Lepisosteus oculatus: one gene and its partners. The protein of the gene in region 3 purifies or fractionates together with the protein of the main gene of each other region. This does not show direct contact. Links are inferred from orthologs where the notes say so. Each region holds a gene or a part of one and is shown on either strand. Other genes may lie near its edges.

Region 1 (7,087 bases), on a different chromosome or scaffold from region 3:
TGTACTCACCAAAGGCATTCTTCGATTCAGACAGCCGCTCTTCATCAGTGGAGTCGATCACGTATATCACCCCATGGGATTCAGCGTAATACTGCACCAGGAGGGAAACAGATCTGAATCAACCCTGAGCAGAGTCTGCATGAACACCTTTCTCCCCCTTTCCCTTTCTTGCAATATGTCTCAGTGTTGAACAGGGATTAATTTTTGCCTCAGTACACAGTGGGAAAAGACTGCAAGACGCGTCAGTAAGGCCACATCTGGCACATGGTGTACAAGTTTGTGTTCCACATTACCAAAAGACATTGCTTCTAGGGAGTTTTCCCAGGAAAGAGTAACCAGGTTAGTTCCTGGTTTTAAAGTAATGTTACACTGGTCTTGAAAAAATGAAATTATGAGGACACTTGATTCATGCATTTAAAATCTTTCAGGTTATTAACTCAAATAATCAAGTTGGAAAAGTGGATACTGAAAGGATGTCCATTCAGTACAAAGTATGGAAGTATTTTTTTCAACAAGTTACCCATTACTGTTGTTATAATGAAGCATCAAATGGTTCCATATGTTCTTATATATAGGTCCTATGACAGCTTCCTTTTGGTAGCAAGGCTCTGGGAGGTGTGCAAAATAAATGACGGTTGTAATTGGGCTCAGGAATTATATATAACACACCCTAATAAAACAAAAACTAAAAAAGTTTTAAATAACATTTAATACCACTGATAACCCTTCAGTGACCTCTAGTGGTCTTAATGGTCACTGCAGGTGTCTCCATGGGATAGCCTACCACAATTGTGAACAGCAGTGCTTCATGCCTCACATTGCAAAGCAACTGATAAATATTTAGGAAGAAGATTCTGTGAATCACAATATGAGCTATTCAGTTGCAGATTTTAGCTATACTATATATTATAGCCAGGGCCGCATGGCAGTGCAGTGGTTGGCATTGCTGTCTCATAACGCTGGTGCCCTGGGTTTTAATTCCGGGCCTGGGGTGCTGTCTGTGTGGGGGTTGTATGGTCTCCTGTGTTTGCGTGGGTTTCCTCTGGGTGCTTCCATCTCCTCCCACAGCTCAAAGAGATGCTGGTAGGTAAACTGGCCCCAGTGTGAGTGTGTGTCTCTACGTGCCCTGTGATGGACTGGCATCCCATTCAGGACGTATCTCGCCCATGGCCCCCCAGCAACCCTGAATTGGATGAGGCAGTTAGACCAGTTCAGGCAACCCCACTGCCTTGCCTTACTTTGTCCCACAGTGACTGCAGCTCGTCTTGACCTCCCAGGTCCCAGAACATGAGGCGCGCCTTGCCCACATCTATTGTGCCAACTGATCAGGAAAAGGGAAGGACACACAGATCAGTCTGATTTTAAAACATTGGCTGTACTGTCTAGATATATAAATATACTGTACAATGTATTTCATACAAAGAGGATCAAAACTTACTGTTCAAGCCCACAGTGGTGGTGATCTTGGACAAACTCATGCCCTTATAATTCTTGCTGAATTTAGTCTTGGTCTGCTCCAGAAATGTCTATAGCAATAAATGGAAACGGATGAAATCACTCAGTTGGCAAAATCTCACTGTCTAATAATACACACACACATATATATATAATGCATTTGCAAGTGTACAATAAGAGAATCACATGCAGGATTTTATATTGCCCATAAATCATACTGTCCATAGGTCTAAAAGGCATTCACTAAATTCACTAAAACAACTTACAGTTTTCCCTGCATTGTCTAAGCCGAGGATCAGAATGCAATATTCATCCTTCTGGAACATGTATTTGTACAGACCCGATAATAAGGTGTACATCCTGGAAAACAACAACCAAAAAAAACAAAACAAAGATCATTTAAAATGCCCATTTGGACTTTAAAAATACACATTAACAGATGCTTGATATTTGAGCAAGATCATACGCATTGCTTGATACTTTAAATCAATGCAGAGTAAAGATGTAGAGAAACGAGCCAGTTAATACATAGACAGGTAGGTGTAGATAGATCCACAAGGTAGGTGAAGAAGTCCTTTTTGGATAAGAAATCATGTGCGAGATAGGATTTATTGTAGTGAGAAATTTACCTTTTTTCCCCCAAAAAGCACAAAACCAAGTTTGCTAGCTAGCAGAAAGTAACTTGGTAAGTGTGGCTAATGACAGCCTTCTTACACAGAGCACAAACAGGATGGGAGACATGTGTTGAACTAGTCTTTCCAAACAATCAAGTCATAATATGGTATTCTTTGAAGAAAGTTCAGGTGGGCAGCTGCATCAGCATGCGTAGGCTGCAAAGGAACAAGTAAAAAGTTTATTCCATGCTGAAAAGAGAAGAAAGAAAACACAACAAATGAAGAAATGAAGAAATGGTGACATGGACTCACAGTGGTTACCACTGCAGCCTCAAAGCGCTGGGGTCTAATTTATAACAATGATCTAGATTCCGGCACAGTTAGTACCAAAGTCTGAAGATTATTTCAAAATAGGAGGATTACCAAACCAAATTGAAGATGAAAACACAAAACAGGAAGATTCTGATAAAATGCTCAACTCGGAAACATCCTGTCCTATGATGTTTAATCTAGACAAGTGCATATTATTACATGCCGAAAGTAAAAATGCAGTATAGATACAAAGTGAGGAACAACGGACTTGAAAAAGCTAAAGAGAAAGTGTTTGTTGACATTTGTATCTCCAGTTACAGTGGGCAAGCAATAAAAAGGTCAACAGAATATGAGGGGGAAATTATTAAAATTTCAGGATTTAAATCGAGGGATGATATGTCAAAACTATGCAATGCACAAGTAAGACCTCACTTAGAACACTGCATGATGGTCACCATGTGACTAGAAGTCTAGTGCGCTTCTGAAAATGTTCTAGAAAAAAGAGCAACCAGGTTCATTCACATTAAAAGGATGCCCTACATTTTCGGGACAAAGTGCTGAACCTTTTTAGTCTCAAAGGCAGATGACAATGAGGGGGACCTGATTTCAGCCTTCAAAATCCTCAAAGACATTGGCAGTGTCAGCCCAGTGTATTTCTTCACAATAAACAGAGAAAGACAACCCAGAAGTTACAAGAGGAAACTAGATTGGAGAACTTTTAAAACTGAGAACAGGATACACTTTATGGAAGGGCCATTATATGTATTATTTTATAGAGTTGATAATGTTATTATTATTATAACTATTACGTTATAACTATAATAAATATTATAATGTATACTCCGGCCTCATCAGGGAACGACTGGATGAGAACCCAGGATCAATAGCTTCTAGTTACCAAACGGGCGAAATGAGAAGAATCGTGACGTTAGTTCCGTGCTTCTGATTATATCTCGGCTAATGTTTACCTTTGTGTCTGGGATCGCCCGCACTTTACTTGCTGTTTAAGGTCTTAATAATCCAGCTGAGATGGAATTGAGATGATAGATTTCACTTTATAAAACCGTACAAAGGCGAATAGCTTACACACTCTCAGGTTAATATAATTGTAAATGCTAGTTCTTTTGTATTGGGGTGGATGTATTTAAAAGTGCGCTGTTAGAGATGACTGGTATTCCATCTAATTTTACTTAGGACTAAAATCCTTGTATACAGTACTGTCAAAATAATGAGCTCAATTACATTATAAAACAAACAAAACCAACTGGTTTGCAGCAGTACAAACCACAGGCTATAACTATTAACTCTGAATCAACATCCCTGTAAAATAATAATTTCTCTAATCCGTCGCTCTTTTCCTTTTTTGTTACCATCCTTAGATGTTAAAATAACCATACATGCATTTGAAAACTGCTCTTATAACACATTTCCTTGAACTTACCTTTCATTTGCGACCAAGTCATCATCCGTAAATAGGAAGTGCTTACCGACTGGCAATGCACTGTAGGAATTGATGTTTTTTGTTGGTTTCACCCCCATGGCTGCTGAACGGATGTCCTGAGCTTGAAAACTACAAATCCCAGGATACCATTGGAAAGGAAAAGGCCGGCGTGTAGTTTGCAGTGGTTACTGGGAATTTACGTTTTCACTGGTGCTTCTAAAACTGTAGATGTGGTCCAAATACACTACAATACCCACAATTCACAAATATACTCTAATAACTTCCTCTCAAAAATGGAAGGATATCAAATTGTCATTTAAATGGTGACTGCAATATCAGAACCGGTAAATGTAAGGTTACATTGCTTTTCTTATACTACATACCTATCAGTAATGCAGGATTTCTGTATGGAAGATTGTTAGCAACAGTTAGCAACTGAGCAACAATTTTTTTTATTTTTGTATTCCAGTTTATATATTTTGCGATTATACATCCTGATCAGTAGTTACCGTAAATATATTTAAAGGCATCAAACGCAAGAGATAAACATAGTTTTGGTATAAGTAACAAATCTGTGTTTTTAAGGCTCTCTTTGTATGTATCATTTAGTTCTTCGTGAATAAACGATTAAAAGTAAACAGTATTTTAAGAAATAATTTCTGGTTTAATATTTGTCTCCGTTACATGTTATAGATGTTATAAATGTTATTTTTCGTATGTGTAATTAAATTACTAAAGATATTGCTTTACAATTACACATTTTTGAACGGCGCCTTAATTAAAACTAGCAAAATACTTTTAAAATCAAAGCAATTGCTTTAAAGTAGCAATAAATAGCACTTATTGCATGGATTGCTTATCTCAGTGTTAAAGCATTTTCAGAGACAAATACGCTAGTTTTAGTACCCAATTTTTTACCTAGTTTAAACAGAGGTTCATACGGACGTCTGTGAAATGTTGACATCAGAAACCTGCAACTTAAGATGTGAAATCGATCGTTTCGTCTCTGGGATGCGTGACAGGTCTCATCTCCGTGTTAATTTATTCGGAAAATTTTATTGCTTTATTCTTGCGCTGAAGGCTAAATTGTCGGATTTCTCATTCTTCCAGCTTGCATCCCGGAGTAGATTGCCCAAGGGATTTGGAAATATCAGCTTCGGGAAAGCTTGGTCAGTTTGAGACAAAGGAGAAGAAGCAATCTCATAAAGGTATTTATGGGAGAGGCAGCAAGTGATTGGATTTCCTCTACTTTGAACATACTGACTCAAGCTTTTCCGCATGACTGTATTAAGACGAATGCTCGCCTGCTGTGTGCAGGGTGCCTCAAAGTGCAGGGATAATCACGGTTTTCCGTAGTTTGAACAGGAGAAACAGTTGGAGGAGGGAGAAACACATCTCCAGGTTAAAGCGTTTGACCTCTCCTCTTCCTCGCCAGACCGATTCCTGAATGCCGGCCTGTCCCCCCGGTCGTGATGGACGAAGGTAGCTTGGAGGCGGCCATCGAGACTTACCATGCCCAGCTCCAGCAGGTGGAGACGGCCCTGGGCGCCGGGCTGGAGCCCTCCCAGCAGTCCGACCTCCTGCAGCTGAAGGAGGACCTGCTCCAGCTGATCGAGCTCACCGAGGCCAGCCTGGTGTCCGTGAAGAAGAGCCGGCTGCTGGCCAGCCTGGAGGGCTCGTCGGCCTGGCCGGCGGAGCCCCCCGCGGGGCAGCCGCCGGCGGGGGACCCCGGCATGCGGGACGAGTTCGCTGCGTTTTACGCGGCGGTGAGCGAGCCGTCCTGCGCCGAGCCTTCCACCAGCGAGAGCGCCCCTGCGGCCCAGAGATCTGGAGGAGGATCCGGCAGCCCCGGATCTCAGCAGGCAGCTGAGGAAGAGGAAGAGGAGGAGGAGGAGGAGGATGTGATGAGTGGCATGAAGGTCTGTGCCCCTTACCGCACCTCCTGGGGAACGCTGGAGTACCACAACGCCATGGTGGTGGGCACAGAGGACTCGGAAGATGATGACCCGCAGGTCCGGGTTCTGTATGTCCACCCGACCCAGAAGTCCATGAAGCCCTGCCCCTTCTTCCTGGAGGACAAGTGTCGCTTCATGGACAGCTGCAGGTGAGGAGCTGCAGATTGCCACTGGGAAACTGCATCTGTTCCCCTCTGGATGGGTTCAGAGGCAGACTCGCACAACCATTGTACCCCTGAAGCTGAAAATATGATGGAATGCATTGCAGTTGTTTTAGCTCTTGCATACCTTTCTGTGATTTATTCCAAAGAATTCAAATTAAAAAATACACAGCACCTCCTTCTTTATAACACACTGGATTCTTTATAGCTTCTTGGCTGCTATGTAACACAGACAAAAAGAAACATATCCTAAAATAATGAAGCATGTTCACTCGGAGATAAGATCGCTTTATTGGCCATATACAATTTCTTGCACTAGGAATTTGTCTTTTCACATACCCCAACTTGCTCTCCATGAGACCCACAGACAGGGAGAGAAGCTTGGGGTTAGAGCGCAGGGTCAGCCACTTATACGGCACCCCTGGAGCCGTTGGGGTTAAGGGCCTTGCTCAGGGGCCCAACGGAATAGGGTTCCTCTGCCGGCCGCGGGATTTGAACCGGCAACCACTGACGTGGATTGAAGTTGGGGTTAAAGCTGCACGCTGACCCCTGTGATTGCCGTGCCTTTAGACAGAACCGTTGTTTATAAATGGAGCAAAGCCGTTGTGATTCGGCTGCTCTGAGCCGGCGCTCCGGATCGAATCGGAATTGGAGTGCCCGCGATACCGAGCATTCCCGTCCGTTCCCACACTGTCGTGAATCTCTCCCCGAGTTCGTCCTTTTCGCCTCCTTCAGGTTCTCCCACGGAGAAGTGGTGTTGGTGTCCGAGCTGCGGCCTTTCCAGGAATCGGACCTCAGCTCACTCCAGGAGGGCTCAGCCTGTTTAGCCAGGCATGAGGATGGCATCTGGTACCCGGCCAAAATTACAGGTTTGTGGTGATCGCTCATAGGCCCTGAACGCACGTGAGGTACTCATGAAGTCGTCCGCACAGTGGACTGGCCAGCTTGCACTCATCATTGTTTGTCCAGCCATTCTGAAACATACATTCAGGTAACAATTTCAAAAAATGAGACAACACAGCAATATTGAGCAGTGTTGGCATCTAACAGCAGCATGCAACGGCCTAATCTCACCAAAGCCTTCTTTGAAGGGCTCTCAGGGTTTGGTGGATTGTCCACAAATCTAAGTCTTTTCCCCGTGTGGCCCGT
Region 2 (6,958 bases), on a different chromosome or scaffold from region 3:
GTGGAATCTGCGACACTCCGAACATCAGAACGCTTGCAAACGAGAGGGAAGCCATTGCACACTTAGAGCTCCTGTTTTCAAGATGTTTTGTTTTCCTGCGTCATCAGAACAACTCGATTAATGAGTCTGGGGTCCCTGGAACGTGACCTAGATGTGGTGGCGAGTCTTATCCGTGTCCCGTCTCTGGACAGAGCACCTTTGCTCGAAGAATTATGTTAAGCACGTCTGTAAACCTGTCTTGTGGCTTTGGAGTGAATCTAGCCAACACGCCTGAGAAGCGGCAGATTTCGTGTGCGGAGGCCATGCCGAGGCGAGGCTGACCGGGGCGCCGGCGAGTCACAGGGGCCTTTGTTGCCTCCTCTGTGAATCGGCCTCTGTCCCGCGCGAGGCGCAGGTGGTCGAGCGGGAGGAGGCAGGGGGGACAGAGACAGTGCGCACCTGTCAGTCCGCGCCGGCGCTATCGGGGCCCCCCGATCGCCTCGGTGACGAGCCCAGAATGTGGCGACTCTACGCGCCCCACAGTGGGCAGGGAAGTGGGGTGGGGGTGCGGACGTAGAAGATCCATTGCCACCGTCTCCATTTCCACACCTGCGACAGGTTATGTCAGCACCCTGCCAAACACACACACTGCCCCTTGTTCCCCCTGCCTGCCCGCGTCCGCAGCTGCCTCTCCCCCTGCCCCGCTCAGCGGGCCCGCGGAGGACCAGACAGAGCCGCGTCTGTTACAGGACAGCAGGCACCTGACACCTTCCCCCTGCTGCAGCAGGAAGGGCGTGAGTCTGCTCTGAGAAGACGCCAGATACCGGGCTCCGGCCTCTCCCCCCCCTGCGGAATTCACACGCGGGCGACCTGACAACCCCGCCGCACAGAGCAGAGCTTGTTCTGCACATTTGCATCACCGGGAAACGTCTTTGAAGACGTATTTGAGGATCAACATGGACAACACCAAAAAAAAAAAAAAAAAGGATTTGTGCACTGAAATCAAAACAAAAGGAAAATGATTCAGGGGTGAATTTCAAAGCACTGTGTGGCCACAGCATTGCACAGGCTTATATCTTGCGGTGTATATCACTGGGGTCATGAGAGGTGTTATTTCTCTGTGCTGCTCACCCAACCCTCCCTACTGACCCCTGTGACCCCCATGACCCGGTCTCACCGATGGCCCTGCGGAAGTTCTCCATGAGCACCTCGGTCTTCTTGATCTCCGTGGAGTACACCTCACTGCCCACCATGGGGCAGAAAGGCACCTTGTTCCCCAGCTCCTGAGCCATGGCCAGTGCCAGAGCAGTCTGTCAAGAGAGAGGGGCAACGTCCAGTAAGCACCAGATAGGTCCGAGCTTATCAAAGCTACAACTTAGAACAGATCCTTCTATAACAGAGTAACAGGTTAATCAAACAGGTTGTACAAACAAGCGTACACACAAGAGACAAATGCATTCACGCACAAACATGTTAACTGCACACAATTGCTCCAGTCCACAAGGGCCACAGGTCAGGCCGAGAAGCACGGCATGCTGGGAGCAGTAGTGCCTGACACCACTCAGGTTTCTGCCGGAAAGCTCGTTCAGTTCGCACTCATGTCAGCTGTCGGGTTAAGGGAAGGAAAACATGGCTACGGAGCTGATAATATTATAACGCTAAATGTATATATAACAGATATGTATGGATTTATCATGGTGGGTAGAGAGAGAATCCTGCTCCTACAAAAACCTTATGTTTCCATTTTTGCCCCATTCTGTTAGTACACAGGGTGCTGCTGCTGTGATCTCCAGTTCTCCCCCCAACAGTTACCTTCCCAGTTCCTGGGGGTCCGGCCAGCAACACCGCCCTGCCGGCCATCTTCTTGCAGCGGATCAGTTCCACGATGATGCCGCAGGCCTGAAAGAGAAAAGGTGGCAGTTCAGTTCCAGTCCACGAGCAGAGGAGGGGAAGGAGTAGGGGAGGGAGTGGACAGCCCACGCAGGGGGAAAGACGAGAGGACGAGAGGCACAGAAAGCAGACTGGCCGTTCCTCGCCTCTTCGTACCTGCTCTGTCCTTCCTCTCCTGTGCCCTGTTTGCGGGTTTCCCTCTCTCCCTCATGACCGGAGAAGGCTCCACAGCTAAAAAGCTGAGTTTCTTCTCTTTGCCCTTCTGTCTGGAACGAACCTTTACCTGTGTATTCGGGCCCGACACACGGCTGCAGAGAAGTGCTAACAGCCCCAGAGAGAGACAGCCCTGACAACATGAGATGTGCTGTGTGGAGCTTTGACCTACAGCAACACAGGACCCTGGAGCTGCAGGAAACTTGGGGGGGTTGGAGTGGTGCCAGACACGGACGGGGGTCTGAGTAACTGCATTCGCCCCAGTAAAAAGCACAGCTGAGACGCCCCCTGGAGGACGGCGGCTGACCACACACCCGCACACTCCGTGTTCCGCTACACTGCCACCGGCTACGTCTGAGAAGCCTGGCCCGATAAAAAGGAAGTATTTTAACCCACCCTAACCCTTCAATGAGTAAACCTCAGAGCATCCAATTTTCAGAGTCTGCTATTCAAACACACGCCAGGTAAACACGGCTACAGAGGACCTTTCTACAAGTGTGCACGACATTGTAACCCAAGCAGACGTCCCCTGAATACAGATAAAAGGGCTTCGCTGGTGACTTGGTGTATTCCATTTAGAGACAAGCAGCTGGGAATGATCATCCGCAAACCGCGAGCCCCCGGGCCCTGTAAACGTCAATGTGCTGGACGCGGCGCCGGTACCTCTCTGGCGTTCTCCTGGCCCACCAGCCCGGCGGCAGCCTGCTTCGCCATCCCGGCCTCGTCCAGCCCCAGGCCCTTGACATGGCTGTGCGTAGCGATGCGCTGGGTTTTCGTGGTGCTCTTCACTTCCTCGATCTTCATGCCTGGACACACGGTTCAAATCGTTCCGGCGGCTCTGAAACCTGGGAGACTCCTTACTGCGTGATGCTGGACGGTTAACGCCGGCGCGCGTTTCCATGTGGGTAACCAAGGAGGTGGAGGAAGTTCCGCCCTCTCTGTCAGCGGCTTTCCAGTCGCAGCTCTGATTGGTCAGATTTACGGAGACCTGTACAGTGATTGGATAGGGATGGTGTCTGTCTAACAGACGTCCTTTGACCCCGCTCAACTAGTGTTTTGTCGGCAGGATTTCTTTCCGCTGGTGTTGCTCCGCTCGCCGTCCCCATGGAAACCAAGCGTTTGGTTTTAGAGAAAAATACATTAAACTACAATAATTACAACCAATCCTGCTCATCGTTATTACACGCAACACGTTCGTTTTAAAGAAAATAATTGTGAAGATGAAACTACAATTTGTATAAGAATGATCTTATTGTAAATATCATGCCTTTTATCTCAAATTACTACTGTTCTACTGCGTTAAAAATTTAGTAAAAGTACAAGTTAAATAAGGCGTTAAAATGAAGTACATTTTAAAAGCAGATTACATGGGCTTATCAAACACATCTATAGGGGAAAGAAGCCACTCGACATATTTTAAGCTATCTCTTTTACTGCTTTTAACAATGACGTTTGTGTAGGATAGGAGGTTTAAACAAACCTCATAGTCAGGGCAGTCATCTGCACTGCTGCTGGTACTGGTACAGCAGAAACACAACAAACATGTTCGCCATCGGTGTTTCACAACGGAATGGGATAGTTGCTACACCGGAAGTGTAGTTTTTCCTGCGGGAGACAGCGCTGGAGTTCTGCAGGAGTTCCGAGAAATTGTGTTGCTTGATTAATTATCGCAGCGGCAACAACAGAAGAGAAACGCGGAAACGGGCAGGGTTCGTGTTTGAATCGCCGGGGCCCACATTAGTAAGTTAAACCCGGCAACGTGTGGGTCTGCGGCAGGGCAGAGTCCAGTTGAGCAATCCGGGGATGGCTGCGATGGCCGGCTCGGCGGAGGGCGACGGCACCGCGACCCTGAACTTCAACGTGGGTGTGCTGGGCCATGTGGACAGCGGGAAGACCTCGCTGGCCCGGGCGCTGAGCAGCACCGCGTCCACGGCGGCCTTCGACAAGAACCCGCAGTCCCGGGAGCGGGGCATCACGCTGGACCTCGGCTTCTCCTCCTTCTCGGTGGAGCTGCCGGAGCACCTGCGGGAGCAGTGCCGGGAGAGGGGCTTCAGCCGCCTGCAGTTCACCCTGGTCGACTGCCCGGGGCACGCCTCGCTCATCCGCACTATCATCGGGGGTAAGATAGTGGCGTGCCGACAGTGCGAAGCCTCTCGCTGCTAACTCTGGGCCTCCTAAGCTGTGTCTGCTGCCTTTGATCTGCACAGCTGGTGCAAGTCCTGCAGCTCCGCAGCGTGCAAGTTAGGAAAAGGCGACTGCGTGCCTGGTGTCCCGGACCGGACCGGATTAGACCAGTGTCCAGCTGCTGTCCGCTTCCCGGCGAGAGCAGCTGAGCTGCCGTAGTTCATTCCCCAGGCGATGCCGGTCTCGCATGTCAGTGCTGTGGCCCCTCTACAACCTCAGCTGCTCTGCAAGTTCCAATGCTAGTTTCGTAACTGCTGTTTTAAAGATGAATCCCGGGCGATGCCCTTCTGTTACTGCCGTTGACAAATACTGGCGAGGGGCCGTCGGTCGAAGATCTGAATTTTCTTTACATTTCAGGGCAAAGCTTAATGTCAGAACCAGTGGAGAGCCGCACAGGTGTGCGTCAGCGTCATCTTGCTGCAGGGTGTCTCTTGGGTCGAACCGGGTCCCTGTGTTGTGGGGTCGAACGCGAGGTCTGGCTCACTTTGCAGAGCTGTGTTGTGCTGCAATGCCAGCTGTCACCAGACGGTGGCACTGTTGCACTGCTATTGCAGAGAAAGCCTTGAGTTCATACGAGGGCCGCATCCAAGCGCGTACAGACTACCGGCCGTCTTGAGCCGCAGTCCGTCGCTCTTGCACGCGGGTCTTAACTCCACCGTTCTTTTAGGATTTTCATCAAGACATGTGCGTTTGCCTAGGCTGCAGTCAGGCCTGGGCTGTAGCTCCCCTTAACCATTTAGCAGCTTAATCACCCTGTAACTCCCAGCTCACAGCCCACTGGAGCTCAGCAGGTGTGAGCCTGGTCAGTACCTGGAGGGGAGACTCCTGGGAAAGCTGAGGCTGCTGCTGGAAGAGGTGTTAGTGGGGCCAGTAGGGGGCGCTCACCCTGCAGTCTGTGTGGGTCCTAATGCCCCAGTATAGTGATGGGAACACTACACTGTAAAAAGGAGCCGTCCTTTGGATGAGACACAAAGCCGAGGTCCTGACTCTCTGTGGTCGTTAAAAAACCCAGGGCGTCTCTCGAGAAGGGTACGAATGAGACCGGGTTTTCTGGCCAAATTTCCCACTGGCCTATACCCATCATGACCTCCTAATAACCCCCCTCTCTGGACTGGCTTCATCACTCTGCTCTCCTCCCCACTGAGAGCTGGTGGTGGGGAGCGGACTGGCGCATTGTCCAGGAGGGGTGCACACTGGGGGTGCTGGAAGGGATCCCCATTACCTGTGAAGCGCTGTGAGTGGAGTGTCCAGAAAAGCGCTATATAAGTGTCAGGATTTATTAAAAAGCCGTATCCAGGAGCTCCTCTCCTGTGACACTGGCCGCAGGACTCTGGAAGGAGACAGACCTTCCCGGAGGAGAGTTACAGCAATTCCTCCCGGAGGAGCAGACTTCCTTGCTGGCTGAGCTGTGTGAATTCAGTCCCCCTCTCTCCTCTGGGTTTCGTCTTGATGTTGTTTTCTTTTCCTCTTCGTGGATGTCGGGAGCAGCCGATGCTTCCTGTAACAGGAGACGCGGAGAGGCGGAGGGAGAGTGGCTCTAGTGTAAACAGCGTCCGGGGCTGCCGCGCGGATGAATGCGGGGCTGTGTGTGCGCGCGGCTCGGCAGATGATCTTAATTAGGGCCGGAGGAGTCGGTGGATGAGTTTGGGCACTTCCTCCCGGAGAGAGGGGACACGTCCAGGAGAGCTTGCGTGCTCCGTCCGTCTCTCCCTCTCTCCTCTCACCTGCACAGACGCACTCTCTCACACCTGGGAACCAGTGTCCGTTCAACACCTCAAATAAGAATTCTGCTCCAGAGCCAAATTGTGTTACAGCAGAGCAATGCCTGTGTCTAGTCATGTTTGACATTCCTGTATGCGATACCTGTGTGCAGGTGTGTTACAGTGGTGTGTGTGTTACCTGTGTCCAGGTGTGTTTCAGTGGTGTGTGTGTGTGTTACCTGTGTCCAGGTGTGTTTCAGTGGTGTGTGTGTGTTACCTGTGTCCAGGTGTGTTTCAGTGGTGTGTGTGTGTGTTACCTGTGTCCAGGTGTGTTTCAGTGGTGTGTGTGTGTGTTACCTGTGTCCAGGTGTGTTTCAGTGGTGTGTGTGTGTGTTACCTGTGTCCAGGTGTGTTTCAGTGGTGTGTGTGTGTGTGTGTGTTACCTGTGTCCAGGTGTGTTTCAGTGGTGTGTGTGTGTGTGTGTGTTACCTGTGTCCAGGTGTGTTTCAGTGGTGTGTGTGTGTGTGTGTGTTACCTGTGTCCAGGTGTGTTTCAGTGGTGTGTGTGTGTGTGTTACCTGTGTCCAGGTGTGTTTCAGTGGTGTGTGTGTGTGTTACCTGTGTCCAGGTGTGTTTCAGTGGTGTGTGTGTGTGTTACCTGTGCCCAGGTGTGTTTCAGTGGTGTGTGTGTGTGTTACCTGTGCCCAGGTGTGTTTCAGTGGTGTGTGTGTGTTACCTGTGCCCAGGTGTGTTTCAGTGGTGTGTGTGTGTGTGTGTTACCTGTGCCCAGGTGTGTTTCAGTGGTGTGTGTGTGTGTGTGTTACCTGTGCCCAGGTGTGTTTCAGTGGTGTGTGTGTGTGTGTGTGTGTGTTACCTGTGCCCAGGTGTGTTTCAGTGGTGTGTGTGTGTGTGTTACCTGTGCCCAGGTGTGTTTCAGTGGTGTGTGTGTGTGTGTGTGTGTTACCTGTGCCCAGGTGTGTTTCAGTGGTGTGT
Region 3 (7,849 bases):
CCTTCGGCCCTGGGGATCGGCTCCGACTGTCCAGAGGACCGCAGGAAGCCATGAGCGGCTCCCCACGCTGCTCCCCGCTTTCCAAGAGAAAGCTGGCAGCGATTGAAGCGCTGGCTATCCCACAGAGCGGCTCACTCGGAGCACCGTGAGGCACGCGCGATGTCTTCTCTGCGGCTAGTCTAATAACGATGTTCTGCCAATTCGCTCTCCGGCGGACACAGCCAAAACAAACACGTAGAACTACGGCTACATTGACCAAACTCACAGAGGCTCAGAAGCCTCACGCGAAGCTTCGTTTTCTCTGCAGCGCTTTGACGACCCCATCCGCAAGCAGAGGCGCGGCACTGCGGACGCCTCCAAGTCCCGATCTTCAAGGGCAACGGCTTGGGATTAAAGAAGACTGGGATATGACGGAGTCACATCCGGCGAGTGAGTTCCTCAGAGTTTCGACCCTGACTGCCCCTGCAGGACAGCACCTCTGAAAACGCTGAGGAGTCAGGGATCGGACTCTCCCCTGGGATGAGCACACGGGGCTCTGTGCAGCAGGAGACCGGGAAGTGAAAGTCCTCTCGCGGGGCAACGCTCCTCCGAAACACATTCGCTTTCCCGGCCCGATGCGGCCTGCCCAGGCCTGACACACAAGACGGGTTGATGGCCTCCCCTGCCCTCTCCGGAGATCAGGGCTCAACGCGCAGGCCCGGCTGCAAACGAGACCAAGGAGAGGCCCTGGTCTGTTCCCTGGGGAGAGCCCTCACATTCCCACGTGGTCAGCAGAGACTGGGAGCCGGGCTGCGGGGCAGGGAAACACGAACCAGCCAGGGAGCAGCCTGACCGGCTTCTTCAGCGATCAAGGGGAGCCCACGGGGGTGCAGACAGACTGCAGCAGCCCTCGCTGTAACCAGGGTGGCCTGTTGTTAAGGAAGCACACCGAAGGCCGCACCCCAGTACTGGGAGATATGGGTGCAATGGGGTGGGGAGCGACTGCTCGCCGGAGCTGAAAGCCAGGCGGTGATTGGCGCCCGGTGGAAAACAATGCACCCCAAGGTGCGCGTGTGAAAGCAGATGGATGCCGAAAAGCTGTAAATTACATCACACTGGTTTGTAACCGCACACTGGCTTGGTGCAGAGAGCTGTTGTGCCCGGAGGTCAGGGCGCGGATGAGGGCATCTCACACACCCAACGCCCGCACACCCCTGCTCTGCACCCCGGTACACGCGACCCCAAAAAAAACAGAACGGAGGAGGGGAAGCCTGATGTCCGAGTGATGCCTTGAACCCCGCCACCGGGTCTGACTCAAGCAGAGGCTGTAGAGCCGTCTCCCCACAGAGCCCAGCCTCGGCACTTTCTAAAGCTCTGCCAGGCCACTGCCTCACGCAGGGACGCGGCCACGGCACCTGTATGAATCGGCTTCTAACAGAGCAGCTGCAAAAAGTTACTTGTTATTAAATGATTATCTGTCATAACAGCTGCAATACGACAGACTCACAGGAGCATTGACACCCTCCATCTCCATTCCAGCTGGTTCTCTCATTTATTAAATACACTAAACACGGGCTGCTCAGACATACAGCAGGATGTCATCTCTATACACAGGGACATGATAAGTTTGACACTCATTCATTCTAGCCAGGGGGACTGAAGGTTCCTAACTTGTTACCCCGGACTGGAATAAAAGTGGAATGCTTATTTCTACACAAAGTCTGTAATTATGGGAAATAAACTCATTCTACACAAACCTTAACCAAAAGACAAACGTCATGTCTGAACCTCCAAGAGGTCACTTTTAAACGGGGGCCACTGAAAAACAAGGCTGCCTTAAATTCGCGAATAATAGTTGCAAAGAGGGGGTGACAATAAAAGCTTGTATCTGGCTGGGTATTTCGGGCTTTAATATTTAAATATGCTAAAGTCATCAAGTGACATATAACACCGGCCATGATGTACGAGTGCAGAAGCAAATCACAGGATAAAGCAAAGCATCCGTTTCGTTAGGCATGGTGATCCGATACTCGCAATCACACGCCACGCGTGTTGACAACGCTCCTGCCCGAGACCTGTCAGCTTGCCCACGCCGCCACCCAGAGGGTTCTCCCCGGGCAGGGACGAGCAATCGGCAACTCGCGTCCGTCCTGCACCCCCGTACCTGCTCGACGGTCGCCGGGTCCAGGGACTGCAGTCTGGCCGCGTTCTCGTATTCGTCCTCGCTGTTGTATCCCGCTCCTTCCTCCGGGTCCGGGCTGGGTCCCCCTCCGCCTCCCCCGGCCACTCCGACAACCCCTCCGCCGGCGACACCGCCGGCACAGGCCGCCTGCCTCCGCCTCTTGCTGAGGCCGGGCCCGGAGCAACAGCTCCCGACTCCGGCGCCCACCCCGACCCCCGCGCCGCACCCCACGCCGCCTGACAGTTCCCCGCGGCCGCCGGCCCCGCACGGCACCCCGCCCGCCCCGCTGCCGTCCGCCGGCCCCACGGGGGATCCCGACCCCACGGGCGGCGGCGAGGCCTGCTGCGGCCGGGAGCTCGCCTCGCCTCTCCGGTCCTCCCTGGACGAGGGCGGCGCGGCCTGGTAGGGCCAGCGCGGCGGGGAGGCCCTGGGTCTGGCGCCGGCTCGGCCGCCGTGTGTGTGGGGATGAGGGTGCTGGTGCGAGTGGGGGTGGGAGTCCGGACCGCTCCGCCGGTCACTCTCGTCCGGGTGGTCAGGCACCCCGACTGTCGAGCTGGGTTTCTTCTTCGGAAGAATCGTCATGGTTGTCTGCTTTCGCAGGGGGGGGCTGGGGAACGACGATTCCTCCTTTCAAGCGGTGGCCGTTAACGTGCGCTGTGTTGTGCAGCAGCCCCCCCTGTCTGTGGACCGCGCGTAGCCCCTTCGCGATTTCCAAAGGCGTCGTTTTACCTCTGTCTTTTTTCCCCTTTAAAAAAAAAAAATGAAACCCCAGTCCAACCCCGGGAGCTTTCTCACTCGGAGAACAAAAACAAGCCGGCCCTCCTTCCGTCCTCCAGCCTTCCACAAAACATCAACACACACACACACTGCTGACGACACGCCGACGTCACTTCCCGCAGCCGCTGACAGCTCCCCTTCCGCACCCGTCCGTCACTCTGCCTAGCAACCAGGGACCAGCAGCCCCCGCGCGAGTGGCGCGGCGCCGCTGTCAAGGGGACAGTACCTGCACAAAACAAACAGCTACGGGGTTTTATAAATATATGTTTATACCTCCCCCGGCTACATTTTCTGTAATCTACTAGGTGTTTAGATTTCGTGACTTTTGGGATTGAACCGTCCACGTGGCCCTTCCTGAATATCGTATTAGTAGTAACGAGTTGATTTTTTTTTAAAAAAGGTATTTTCTTCCAGAAGACAATTTCGTGTCAGTACAATGTCCTTTGTAGAATCCGTAGTCCGAGGATTTAGAAACCGATCCTTGTATTTACAGAAAGGAACTTTATCATTGCATACACTAAGGGGGTTATTTATAAAAACGCAATTATTTATACAGTAATTACAATCAAATAATCGTGTGCTTGGTAATTATAATGTGCATTTTGGAAAGCTCCTGTATTCAATTTTAATATCTCATAATCACAGAATATTTCACAACACCTTTAGATTAAACGGACAATATTTCTTCTTCTTACTCAGATTCTCAAGCCTACTAAACACGTTTACCACAGTCGATTATGATATTCATACATTTAATCCGGTTAAATTAGTGCTCTCTAAATGTAAGCATGAGCAGGATGATTTGTGTGTTTTTTGTCGGGCTGAAGGGGGGTCTTCGGTGCTTTTATTTGTTAGCTGTAGGTTTGTGACGCTGTTTTGGACGGACTTGCAGAGTTTTGTTTGCAGGCAGTTAAAGGTGCGTTTTAGATAAAGGATTTTGATATTTTATGGTACTGTTTAATAGAAAATTTGGAAAAAGAGCAAGTTATTTATAGTAAATGTATTAGTCATTCTGGGTAAATATCACATTCATAAATCAACAGGGTCTAATACTCCCCTTTTATGTACTTTTGAGGTGGAGTTGAAACTATTTAAATTCTATACCTTTTTGGAAAATGTGAAAGCAAAGAAAACATTTGATATATGTACAATTTGATCACATCATTTACTTCATTATCTTTTGCAGTTAATTGTTTTTTTCTGTTTGTTTTTTTCTGATCCTCTGGTATTTATATTTGTAAATTCTTTATACGTTTAATAAAAAAAATTAAAGAAACAACCAGGGAGACGCACAGGAACCCACCCTCCTGCAGAGCAACATCTAATGCAGGGACGTGCACAGCGGGGTGGCTACACGGGCTCAAGCCCTTGCCCCTTTGCCAAAAAAGTCCCAACAATTTCCTTTTTTTTCGCCTCTTAACGATTCTGCTTCTGTATTTATTTACGGATCTCCAGTTAGGGAAAAAAAAACGTTGGACCTAATTGATCTCACCCTAGCGCCAATGCCCGCCTCCTGTTCGTTGTAAAAAGCGGAGAAAAAAATCAGCGATAAGCAACGTACTGTAGGCTGCTCCACCTGTGGAGGTCGTGTTAAACGTTAAACGTGAATGGCGAGAAGAAAACGCTGATTTTTCAGAAGTACTGTACAAAAGTAACACGCCAAGGGTGTCGTATTGAGCACTGTGTGTTTAAGGAAGACTGTTTTCATTCACCTGTTCTAAGTTTGGAAACCGACGAACTCGCCACGTTATTGTCCGCATGGCTGCTTAGCTAGATTTGAGATGTCCTGAAGAAAATGTAGTTTGAGTACACAAGCCAGTCTTTTTGTATTTGATATAAACCTCTAACAGGCATATTCTTTGTTGTGTATATATATATGGTTCAGTCAGAAACGGGAGAGTATGCCTTCAGAAAACAGAAGAAGAAAAAGAGAAAGAATTTAGGGAGGCAGCTGAAGGGAGCACACCGCCTCACAACTGGGTCACAACTAGCGCCAGACGGACAGGTCCCTCGGCTGCATTCTGCGTCCTGTACGCCTCAATAACAGAGGAGTCTTGCCTCACAAGAATGACTACATCGGTAAATGCTGCACGACCTAAGTTTTGAAGAATATCAAAACTGCCTGTAGCCTATTTACAACAAATATACAGGTTATGAGAGCATTATCATTTTTGGATATCTCTGCCAAGTTTTTTTTTGGACACGACCAATAAATTATTCAATTGGAATTACATTTATAGCTTGATATGTCATTATAAAAATTGATGTTGATGTATAAAATAATGCTTAAACTTCTAGTAGTGTAGATTGAGCAATTTCAAGAGATATCCAGTACATGATAATAGAGAACAAGTAATAGGTTTATTCCACGCTGAAAAAAAGAAGAAAGAGAACACAACGTTTCGGCCGTGGAGCCTTCTTCAGGTGCCGAAACGTTGTGTTCTCTTTCTTCTTTTTTTCAGCATGGAATAAACCTATTACTTGTTCCTTTGCAGCCTACGTATGCTGACGCAGCTACCCACCTATAATAATAGAGATATAATGCTTTATAAGACAAGGAGATAATCTGTATCTATTTATTTAAGATGGCAGATGATACTTTCTAGCGGCCTCTTGAATATTTGTCTCACAGTAGACATTTCTTGGGGGATAAAAATCTTGGATTTAATGTGCTATCATGTGAACCCTTGCTCTCGAGATGGAAAGAGATTGCATTTGGTATTGCATGTAATTAGATGGTAAATCTTTTGTTTACTCTGTCCTCTTGTTAAGATGTCTTATATCAGGAAAATAAAGTATATGCTCTGTAGAGGGGGTGTTATATCTTGTCTGTAAATCAAACATAATTAGCAGTTATGGACAACCTTTTTTTTGTGAATATTATAATGCCTCTGAAGTCACATCCAAACTTCCTGTGAAATCATTTACCAGCTTCAACGGAAAGGCCGGGCAAGTTGTTCCCCACTCCCACAACCTTTTGTGTAAAGAAGTGCCTCCTGCTCTCAATGTAATATGCTCTTCCACGTATTTCCCACATTTGTCCTCTGGTTTGTGTTTGGCTGTTGATTTTGAAGAACTCCCCCAGACTGATTTCGTCTGTGCCCTATAGGAATACAGGCCCCAGGTTCTCTTGTAGTCTTCTCTGTCTAAAAAGGTTGAGCTAAAAGGCTCAACAGACATATCAGATCGTCGATATATAATGTCAACTTAAAAACTCCCATTGAACCCATTTATAAGGTTGTGCCTGCTGGAATTCTTTAATCCAGTGAAGGACCCCTGTTTGTGAGGACATTGTCTTAAGTGTTGTCCCTGCCAATATACGGTAGCACACAATATACGGGGAAAACACACTTTTTGAGATTTCGTCTTCTAATGTTTATTATCATCCTGACAAAAACTCAATTTCTGTTTACAAGTGACACTGTGCTTCATCTTCATCTGTTCATTATTTGCTCTGAAATACAGAACTGCACTGCACATTTGATTATTCACATACAAATATTACAGGAATGTGTTATTTTAGCTTTATCAAAAAATACAATAACATTTTACTTCACCGAGGCTAAAAACCACTGCCACTACTCCTTCATAAACACTACACTACATGTTATAACAACACTTACAATATTTTACAACCATTCGTGCAAAGGACATTACCTGCACTCAGCTGTTCATAGTAGTTCAGAACGCAACACACAGTCATTTCAGCCGAATGCTAAGAGCAGGTCTCCAGGTAGAGAGAAGTCAGGTGAAAACGATGGAATTAAGAATTGAGAGCTGACAAGGATGTTCTGCAGACGCAGTGGTCCTAGTATAACTCTGAAATTTATTTTTTTCCGGGATGTTTGTTGTTTGATCGTGTTGTGTATTGTTTGTGAAGGAGTTTTGATGGTAGTTTTTAGCCTCATTCGTATACAGCATTGCCAAAAATACCCTGCTATTGTTCGAACGATATGTGTATCACTGCCAACCTACTACGGTGCCTATTTAGATTACTTTAAAGTTGCATTGCCCCATCATTACCCAGCTGTAGCGAAGACATGACTAATAATCCCCATCAGCTCCTCCATGATATTCGAGGCTTATGAGAGCTTTCTCAATACTCAAACTTTATTACAGAAAAAAAAATCAGGAGAAAGTATTTCTGTTTCTTCATTTAGAAAATGCTTTTCTTGACACCTGAAGATGGACAAAACACATCTTGGTCTGTGATCCAAACTGTCCTCATCGTTACAGCGTGTTTAAAATGCACATACTGTATGGGCTCTAAAGTTTGACTGAGCTACGTCAGTAAAGAAACACAAACCAAAATATTTTTTTTTAAATAATTTCTAAATAGGCCTAAAGTGGTCAAAACCTGCTCATTCATTAACATCTCCTTCCACCACATCTTCAAGGTGCTGATCATCTACTGAACCTGCTGTAGCCGGTGTGTGTCCTGGGCTACGTGGCGAGAGCTCTGCAGCAGATGTTCTGTTCTCCCTGCATACAGTACTCCACAGCTGCTGCAGTGCTGGCAGAAGAAGTGACAGAAAGTGTCATTCCAATTTAGAAGGAGCAGGAAAAAGCTTAATAGAATGTGTGGTGAATTCCAATAATAAATATTAAGGATACCACTCCCTCACCCCCTGGAAAAATAAAACAGGCATAATTCCCCCTGGATCTTGATTCTTAATGTTCTTTTTTATTTTGGGATGTGTTCAATGCCTTAGGTTATTATGATTCTACTAATCTTAATGCTAATAAATGGGGCAATGAGCATGGGATTTGAAAAATTAGTTCATGAATCTTCAAAAAGAATAACCTGGGGAAGGTGATGTAACGTCAGAACACAATATACACATAAATATGAGAACAGTTCGTCCAATGAACAAAACAATATAGGCTGCATGTATGTTTGGTTAGAAAAAT
Region 4 (7,049 bases), on a different chromosome or scaffold from region 3:
GGAGGCAGAAGCCAAGCTAGATGCAAGACTATGTCAGCCGCGGCATCGCCAACAGAACAAGACTGAAACGTTTAAGCCATCGTGCCGCTGGTCCAATTAACACGCCGATGCAACCAGACATTTCAATAATCTTATTTCAAGCCACCAGCAGTGGCGGACGAAGTGAGAATTGAAAGGGGGGTGTAAAAATTTCACAGTGCTCAACACAAACCAGCAACTGCAGGAGCTCACAGGCAAGCACGGGGAAACGAGCATTTACAACCACTTGTGACACTTTTATTGCAGAAACTATGTTCGTCTTAATATGAAACAGGCACACCGTTTAAAAAGCTGGAAAACATTCAAGTTTCCACTGCCAAAGAACCAGAAAATAGTATTCCACGTCTTCAGACCCTGAAAGTTGTTTCTTTTTTTTAAAAAAAAAGAACAAAAAAACGTGGATGGGCATTTGACGAGAGGCTCAATGCTGGTTTCAAGGAGCGGGCAAGCGGGCGTGAGAGACCCCCCCAACTCGCTTAACATCTCCCGTCTGGCGATGGACTGGGCTATTCTCAACCTCCTTCCCAACAAGAGCAACGTCTGATCGCGTCCTGTTCCAAAATATAATTTTGCCACGTTAACGGTTTTCCTCCACCCCCACCCCCCCCAGCTTGGAGCGAAAAAAAAAACTATTTCAGTCTTTTTCAACCCTCTGGACTGTCACCCCCCCACCCTGAAGACATCCATGCCCACCGGGGGTCTCGCCATCCACTTAAAAAAAAAACTAACAGAGGACTTGACGGTGGCGGGGATCAAAATATAACAGCGGGCAAGCGAATAGTCCCGAGCTGAGATGTTGGCAGAAGACTAAACTCGAAACGTGCCAAGGAATGAAGTTACCCCTGCAGAGAGCCTCGCACCCCGACAGAGGGACCTGAAAAGAGCTTTTTTTTTTTTGAAGCACCGTTATCTAAAGCGCCTCTTCCTCCGAGAGACTGACTGTGTGGTTTCTCCCCACCGAGGCCAAGTGAGGCTCGGTCGTTTTAAAGTCATTTATTTGAAACACTGAGGGTGCTGCGGTTACACACACACACAAACAAATATCCAGAAATAAGGCATCGGGGAACCATCTTCCCCGTTAGGAAAGATGCCACCTGGAATTAGGCTGTAAAAGAACATATCGTTGGACCCTAAATCCCGAGGCTGATAACATTTCTTTCTGAAGTTTCCAAACGTGTCATGAGAAATATTTACCGTGCGAGGTCTCGGCACGGGGTTGATAAACTCCTTAAAACCCGTCGACCAAAAAAAAAAAAGCATTTGAGGTAAACCCAGAGCCCAGCGACTGAAATGCGCCGGTTCCGTACATGCAAAACACGCTCAATCGTGTAAACGGCACGACAGCTAAAGCTTGATTTCATCTCTCCACAAAGGGAACAATTAACGCTTCTGCAATCAAGGCGGTCCGGCAATGGAAAAATCCGTTTTTCCCCATTCTGTAACTTTTTCTTTTTAAAGAAAGGGGAGCTTCGCCATTTATCAATTCGCTCATCATATGCAGATCGTGCTTAAAGCTGCGCTACAGTTTAAAAACCTACGTCCCGATTTGCAGCTCAACTCATAAAAAAAAAACCCGAGGTCGCTTCTAAAATATCTTTCTTCTGCTGATGAAAAATAAGTACTCGGGGGTGGGGGGGGGGCGGTTGTACCCCCCCTGCAGAAACGCACATTCATCCCCCCACAGCTAAAACTTCCCATAAATACAAAAGCAGCATCCCAACTTTTCGTGAATTGCAATTTAACCGGCGGACAGGCGTGGCGAGAGAGAAACGCACACACAAGAAGAAGAAGAAGAAGAAGAAAAATAAAACCGCATCAAGATCGGAAAACAAAAGGGACCGAGATGCAGGGACCGTCGGCACCGAGACGCACACTTTCAATACCCGAGGAGCGCAGGCAGGGCGCCATCCTTTCCTGCAACTTGATGCCCCCCTCCCTCCCCGACAGTGCCCTGTTCACACTCCACAAAGCCACGCCGTGGGAAAACACGCTCTCCTCTCCTCGCCTTTCACCCCCCCGAGAAACGAGTCAAAAACGACTCGTTTTTATTGTTTTTTTTACATTTTACGGCGGCGGCTTCACCGGGGAGCTGCTCGGCCGGCCGGCCGGCCCGGGGCTCGTCGTCACCACGCCGCCGGCAGACACCCGAGACGAATGCCGACCCGATCGGGTTACCGGCTTTAAATTAAAATTTAAAAGCGAGAATCAAAGAACACCAACGCCGCCCGACTATGTTAAACACCATTAAAAAAAAAACGTTGTGTCGTTTTTTTTAATTAAAAACCCAACAAGTACCCGGCCGTGTGCGAGAGGGGTGAGCGAAACCCTTTGTCTCACAGACACTCTTCCCCACGACGTGCGCTCTTCCCCCCGCCAACTTCAGAAACATTTACGCTTTTCATTTTCACCGTCACAAGCAGCAGCAGGAGAAGAAGAAAAGCCCCCCTTCTCGTCGGCTTTTGGCAGCTCGGCGCCCCGTTTATTCCTTAACACACACACACAAAAACCACCAACAACAACGAAAAGTTTCCAGAGCGGCTCGATTTACCTGTGGACACCAGTTTCATGGCGTGAGTGAAGGAGGAATCCAGACTGTCCTTCTCCGCCAGCAACTCGGGGAGATATTTGCTTTCGTTCTCCATTTTGTTTACTATTGTGTCTGCTGCGTTTACAGTCTTGGGGAGGAGGAGGAGGAATAAAAATAGGATTAAAAAATGCGTTTGCAGCAGCGGGGGGGAAAAGCTCCTAGCGGCCTCGTAATCTTCTGCAGGTCTGGCTGAGATCGGGCCCAAGTGTGTGCCGAGCCTCCCGGTCGTGTCGGTTAGCAACCTCGTAATGGCTCCCTCCCTCTCTTTCTCTCCTTCTTAGCTCCCTACGAATGGAAAGCGATTGAGAACACACACACACAAAAAATCCTGCGACCGAGGGGGAAAATAGCAAGCCGAGAGGAAGTGAGCTCACTAAATTCATTCAAAATGGTCGGGCTCTCCCTCCCCCTTTGAAAAAAAAACAACAACCTCCGACCGCTGTAATTTTTAAAGGCGCAGCCGGCCCGCTGTTCTTAAATGAATTTGGCGTCGATAAAAATGTGTTGTGGTTGGGGTTTTTTTTTCCCCCCTCACTGTTGGTTGGAGATCACGCCGTGCCCCTCTCTGTACATTTACGTAAAACCGAGGTAACGCGACATGTGTCGATTTTTTTTTATTTTTAACGACATTAAAGTACTTTTTCCGAAATCTGGGTGGTGTGCTTCTGTCGTTTCTGCTCTGATAGTAACAAAGGGGAACACGAAGGCATTACAGGTTAACAACTTCGTCGATAAAATGTTGCCAAACAAACCTGCAGATTTGTTTTCTTTTTTTTAACTCTGAGGGATATTTCTAGGATCTCCTATTTGACCACAGAAATGTCTAAAAAGAAATACTATGCCGTGTGGTTCAGTCGGTTAAACAGCACGGTGGAGCATTGCTTTACTACATCGTCTCATCACTGATTTTCTCAGCTCCGGCAAACATGGGTTAACTTTTATGGACAATGGGTTTAATTGTTCTTTATTCATTTTTCGGAATGCTTTACACTGTGTGTCCGGAAGGTGGAGCTTTTTTACTCTCTATAGGAAAATACTGTGAAGTGTGTGCGAGGCGTTCGTTGATCGCCCGCAAATCGTGAACCTCCGACCTGTGTATCAGGAGATGGATGATGCTGGGGTGGGCCTGATCAGTGCTGTTGTAAGCGGTGTTGGTGGACCAGTAGGTGGCACTCTTCCCTCTGGGCCAGAATTTATAACCCGGTGCCCCAGTATGGCGATAAGAGACAATTTGCTACTCTGTAGGAGGTGCCGTTCTACGGATTAAATGTTAGATCGCGATCCTGACTGCTTGGTCGTTTAAAATTGCCATGGCGCTGTTAGTGTGCTTGTACGATCTGACCTCCCCAGAGTTCCCTCCTTACTTCAACTGGGGAAGCAAATTCTCACCCCTCCCCTCCCACTGATCTGTGGGCTGCTGCGCGTCACCCTGGTGGGGGCGCACTTCAGTACTGGACGATGTGGGGCCCCTCCTGTAGGGAAAGCACCCTTGGGGTGAAAGGCACTCGTGCGGATGCAAGGAAATATTATTATTAAAACTAATTATTAAAATTTCCTAAAATTATTTATGCGGGGGAGCATGGCAGTGCTCTCTCCAGTCTCCAAAGCTCTCTGGTCTGGTGTTCGAGTACAACATAGAGCACATTCTGCATGCTCTCCCTCTGGCCTCTGTCTCCAGCTCACCTTGGCCCTGTATAGGCCTACGTGGTCCGATAATAACTCTTTATAATAATAAAGATGGACGGATGACCGATATCTGTGAGGAACTGATGTATATAAAATGTAACACATCGGAACTCCACTTCTCTGAACTGAAAATATATAGTTATATAGTTCCTACAGGAATGTCAGTTGTGCTAGAAAAAGCACTTTGTTTACCTTTGGCTAAATGTGTCTAATGCATTTAATCTGGTTTTTATTTTCTTACAATATCCTAGGTGCAGTTTGGAATTATGGGCCCATGATAAGTCCCCCTGTCAATCTGCTGAAATGCAAATGAAAACATGGTGTATATCAAGACAATGTTCCCAGAGCTTAAGAGAACAAGTGTTTTGTCAATAAAATACTAATAACACTAAGCGGGAGTCTGGGCTCCCTCTCACACAGAGAATTAAAAATTCACATAAGGGAATGGGAGAAACAAAAACCTAAATCAAAACCTTTCAGGCTGGCGTCTTGTTTATGCGCCAGACCAATCCCCCCAAAATTAACTCTTTCAGCCTCCTCCAGCCCAGACTTCCCGAGTACAATTTTTTATTCCTTCACCACAAAATACCCAGTGTTGTGGTAGCGGTATATTTTCCTTGAAGGGATGGGTTGTGTGAGACTATCATTTTAAACTGTCAGACTGGCAGTTTAAGTTTAGAAACCAGTCCCACCCGGTCCCAGTTCTGTCCTGTTTTTGTCTAACGCCTTGTTTCTGAAATTAAACAAGCCCATTGTAGTCCACCCAGTCTGCCACCACCCAAAACAGAGATGCCTTAAATGCCAAGGAGACTTGTTTTCTGCAAAACATGGCTGCAATGCACACGACCCAGGCAGAGTTTCAGTAAAACAAATATAGTTCATTAAAATATTGAAGATATGCAACCATTGGCTATTAGCGGTGTTTCTTTTGGTTGATTTTATATCTTACCCCCCTAAGCACATAAGTGATGTATGATGGTAAGTGACAAATGATTATTTTAATGTTTCATTAATCTCATTTGTAATTACAATTGAAAAAAAAAACATATACCTCTTTTTTGTTTCATCTTTACTGTAGCATAAAGCAACACTGGCTCACAATGGACATCCTCTGTTAACCTATGCAGTTGGACAACAGATTCTGTGCAATCAGGAACAAAACAGACAAGATAAAGAGCACAACTGATCTTCTGATATGGGAAAGCAAATGGATCATAGTCCAATAACTAGACTCATTATTGCAGTGCCAGACATGACCACTGGAGACATACCCAGCCCCTGAATACTGAACATCTGAATTGGTCTCTAATTTTGTTTTATTTCTCCAGGCTATAACTATAAAAGAGAACCCCCTTCATGTTAGTACAGTGTAAAATACCACAAAGTGACTTTATTTTCTGACATATATTCCATAGTACTAAAATGTCAGAACTTCTTTCATTCACGTTACTGAATGTTTCCTTTGCTTTGTCACAAACCATACAGCACACCTATTCTCTAGTAGAGCAGGTGTGAGGCTGTCTACAGTCCCTCATTGTTAATTGGGCTGACTGGTGTGACTTCTGCTGTCTTGCAAGTGCGAACACCTTCGCAAACGTCTTGGAAGCCTCTGAGACTTCCAAGAGCAAGCCTGAACGAGTGTGATGACTGCTGCCTACACAAAAGAGCCATGCCCATTGTTCACTTTTGTTTGCTCTTGTAAGGCCCCAGAGGCAGGAGTTAACAACTCCTCTGTAAATTGCTAGAGTTTCTAATTCTGCCCAGCTCCTCTCCCCATTCATATTCACCCCATTCATGAGTTTTGCAAGATCAGGCAAAAATGAAAACTACATACTTTGCAAGCTTAATCAAACTGATTGATTACCTGGCTTCTTAACCTGAAGCACACATTGGCAGCCCATGATGTTGGAGGTGAAAGTACAGAAACAGAAGAGCTTTGCAAAAGTATCAAGAGACGAGAGTTAATGTATTATTTATCATAGGTCAGGCATTCAACTTGCTCCATTCATCCTTGAGAAGGATGTGCAGACTGAAGCAAAATGTTGACAAGCTGGCTCTTCCAGGCAACATTGCTGCTCGTAAGGAGGGTTTATCTGAATGATGAGAGTGTGGAAATGTAAGAGGGACTAAACAAGTCAGATTTAAATACAAATCATCAATTTGGTCAGTAGTTTATCGACAGGGGCAGCAGCAAGATTCTTCACTGAGATTGTGCCAGTAGAATTATTAGCTGTAGAGGTGGGGACTAATGCAAGTCACTTGGGCGGACACGTCAGCCACAGACCAAAAGTAATGAGCGTTTTCACTGTGCGATAAACAGGGTTTTTGTCGGCCAGATAGCAAGGCGAAAGCTATAAGAAACATTGCTGTGCTGAAAACATTGTTTGCACCGTGACTTGGGCTGTATAACTTTTCAGCTTTTAAGGTACTAAAGCATTGTGATGAACAGAATTTACATCATCTCAACCCCCCCCCCCCGAGGCACGGGCAAGGGGATTTGATCTAATCCTCTCCACGGGGACCTAATTCAATTCAGCGCTTTAAAACAACGGATTGAGTTCGCGCGTCATGCGATGGAAATGCAGACGTCTCTAAGAGATGAGTGAAAATTCTTTGACCAAAATGAGAATCTGATTCAGGCAGAAGTAACCCTATCCTTGTCTAATCCTCCCTATTCACTGTCTTCATTTGTTATCAATTCTTTTTGTTCTGTGTGGTTTGTGTTGGGAACACCGCT

The links. Proteins that work in one complex are often made in the same cells at the same time.
Region 1: the proteins of otud5a (region 3) and zgpat purify together in Homo sapiens (affinity purification with mass spectrometry; 3 studies listed by BioGRID, with this or other methods). This does not show direct contact. The link is inferred for Lepisosteus oculatus from reciprocal best matches to the Homo sapiens genes OTUD5 and ZGPAT.
Region 2: the proteins of otud5a (region 3) and ruvbl1 purify together in Homo sapiens (affinity purification with mass spectrometry, with the first as the bait; 3 studies listed by BioGRID). This does not show direct contact. The link is inferred for Lepisosteus oculatus from reciprocal best matches to the Homo sapiens genes OTUD5 and RUVBL1.
Region 4: the proteins of otud5a (region 3) and khdrbs1b purify together in Homo sapiens (affinity purification with mass spectrometry, with the first as the bait; 3 studies listed by BioGRID). This does not show direct contact. The link is inferred for Lepisosteus oculatus from reciprocal best matches to the Homo sapiens genes OTUD5 and KHDRBS1.

The regions. Positions count from the first base shown.
Region 1 is NC_090711.1:13,476,536-13,483,622, forward strand, and holds the start of zgpat (zinc finger CCCH-type with G patch domain-containing protein), read left to right. Parts: upstream 1-4,064; 5' UTR 4,065-4,172; intron 4,173-4,932; exon of another isoform or gene 4,933-5,030; intron 5,031-5,257; 5' UTR 5,258-5,294; coding exon 5,295-5,926; intron 5,927-6,673; coding exon 6,674-6,807; intron 6,808-7,087. Other genes in the region: arfrp1 (ADP-ribosylation factor-related protein 1), read right to left, coding at 10-91, 1,239-1,321, 1,439-1,526, 1,722-1,815, 3,823-3,920. UniProt on the Homo sapiens protein: Transcription repressor that specifically binds the 5'-GGAG[GA]A[GA]A-3' consensus sequence. Represses transcription by recruiting the chromatin multiprotein complex NuRD to target promoters.
Region 2 is NC_090699.1:66,360,205-66,367,162, forward strand, and holds the start of ruvbl1 (ruvB-like 1), read right to left. Parts: upstream 3,024-6,958; 5' UTR 2,887-3,023; coding exon 2,746-2,886; intron 1,879-2,745; coding exon 1,792-1,878; intron 1,290-1,791; coding exon 1,157-1,289; intron 1-1,156. Other genes in the region: eefsec (selenocysteine-specific elongation factor), read left to right, coding at 3,886-4,201. UniProt on the Homo sapiens protein: Possesses single-stranded DNA-stimulated ATPase and ATP-dependent DNA helicase (3' to 5') activity; hexamerization is thought to be critical for ATP hydrolysis and adjacent subunits in the ring-like structure contribute to the ATPase activity.
Region 3 is NC_090697.1:76,471,828-76,479,676, forward strand, and holds the start of otud5a (OTU domain-containing protein 5-A), read right to left. Parts: upstream 3,006-7,849; 5' UTR 2,744-3,005; coding exon 2,144-2,743; intron 1-2,143. UniProt on the Homo sapiens protein: Deubiquitinating enzyme that functions as a negative regulator of the innate immune system. Has peptidase activity towards 'Lys-48'- and 'Lys-63'-linked polyubiquitin chains. Can also cleave 'Lys-11'-linked ubiquitin chains (in vitro).
Region 4 is NC_090706.1:3,047,658-3,054,706, reverse strand, and holds the start of khdrbs1b (KH domain-containing, RNA-binding, signal transduction-associated protein 1), read right to left. Parts: upstream 3,024-7,049; 5' UTR 2,682-3,023; coding exon 2,588-2,681; intron 1-2,587. UniProt on the Homo sapiens protein: Recruited and tyrosine phosphorylated by several receptor systems, for example the T-cell, leptin and insulin receptors. Once phosphorylated, functions as an adapter protein in signal transduction cascades by binding to SH2 and SH3 domain-containing proteins.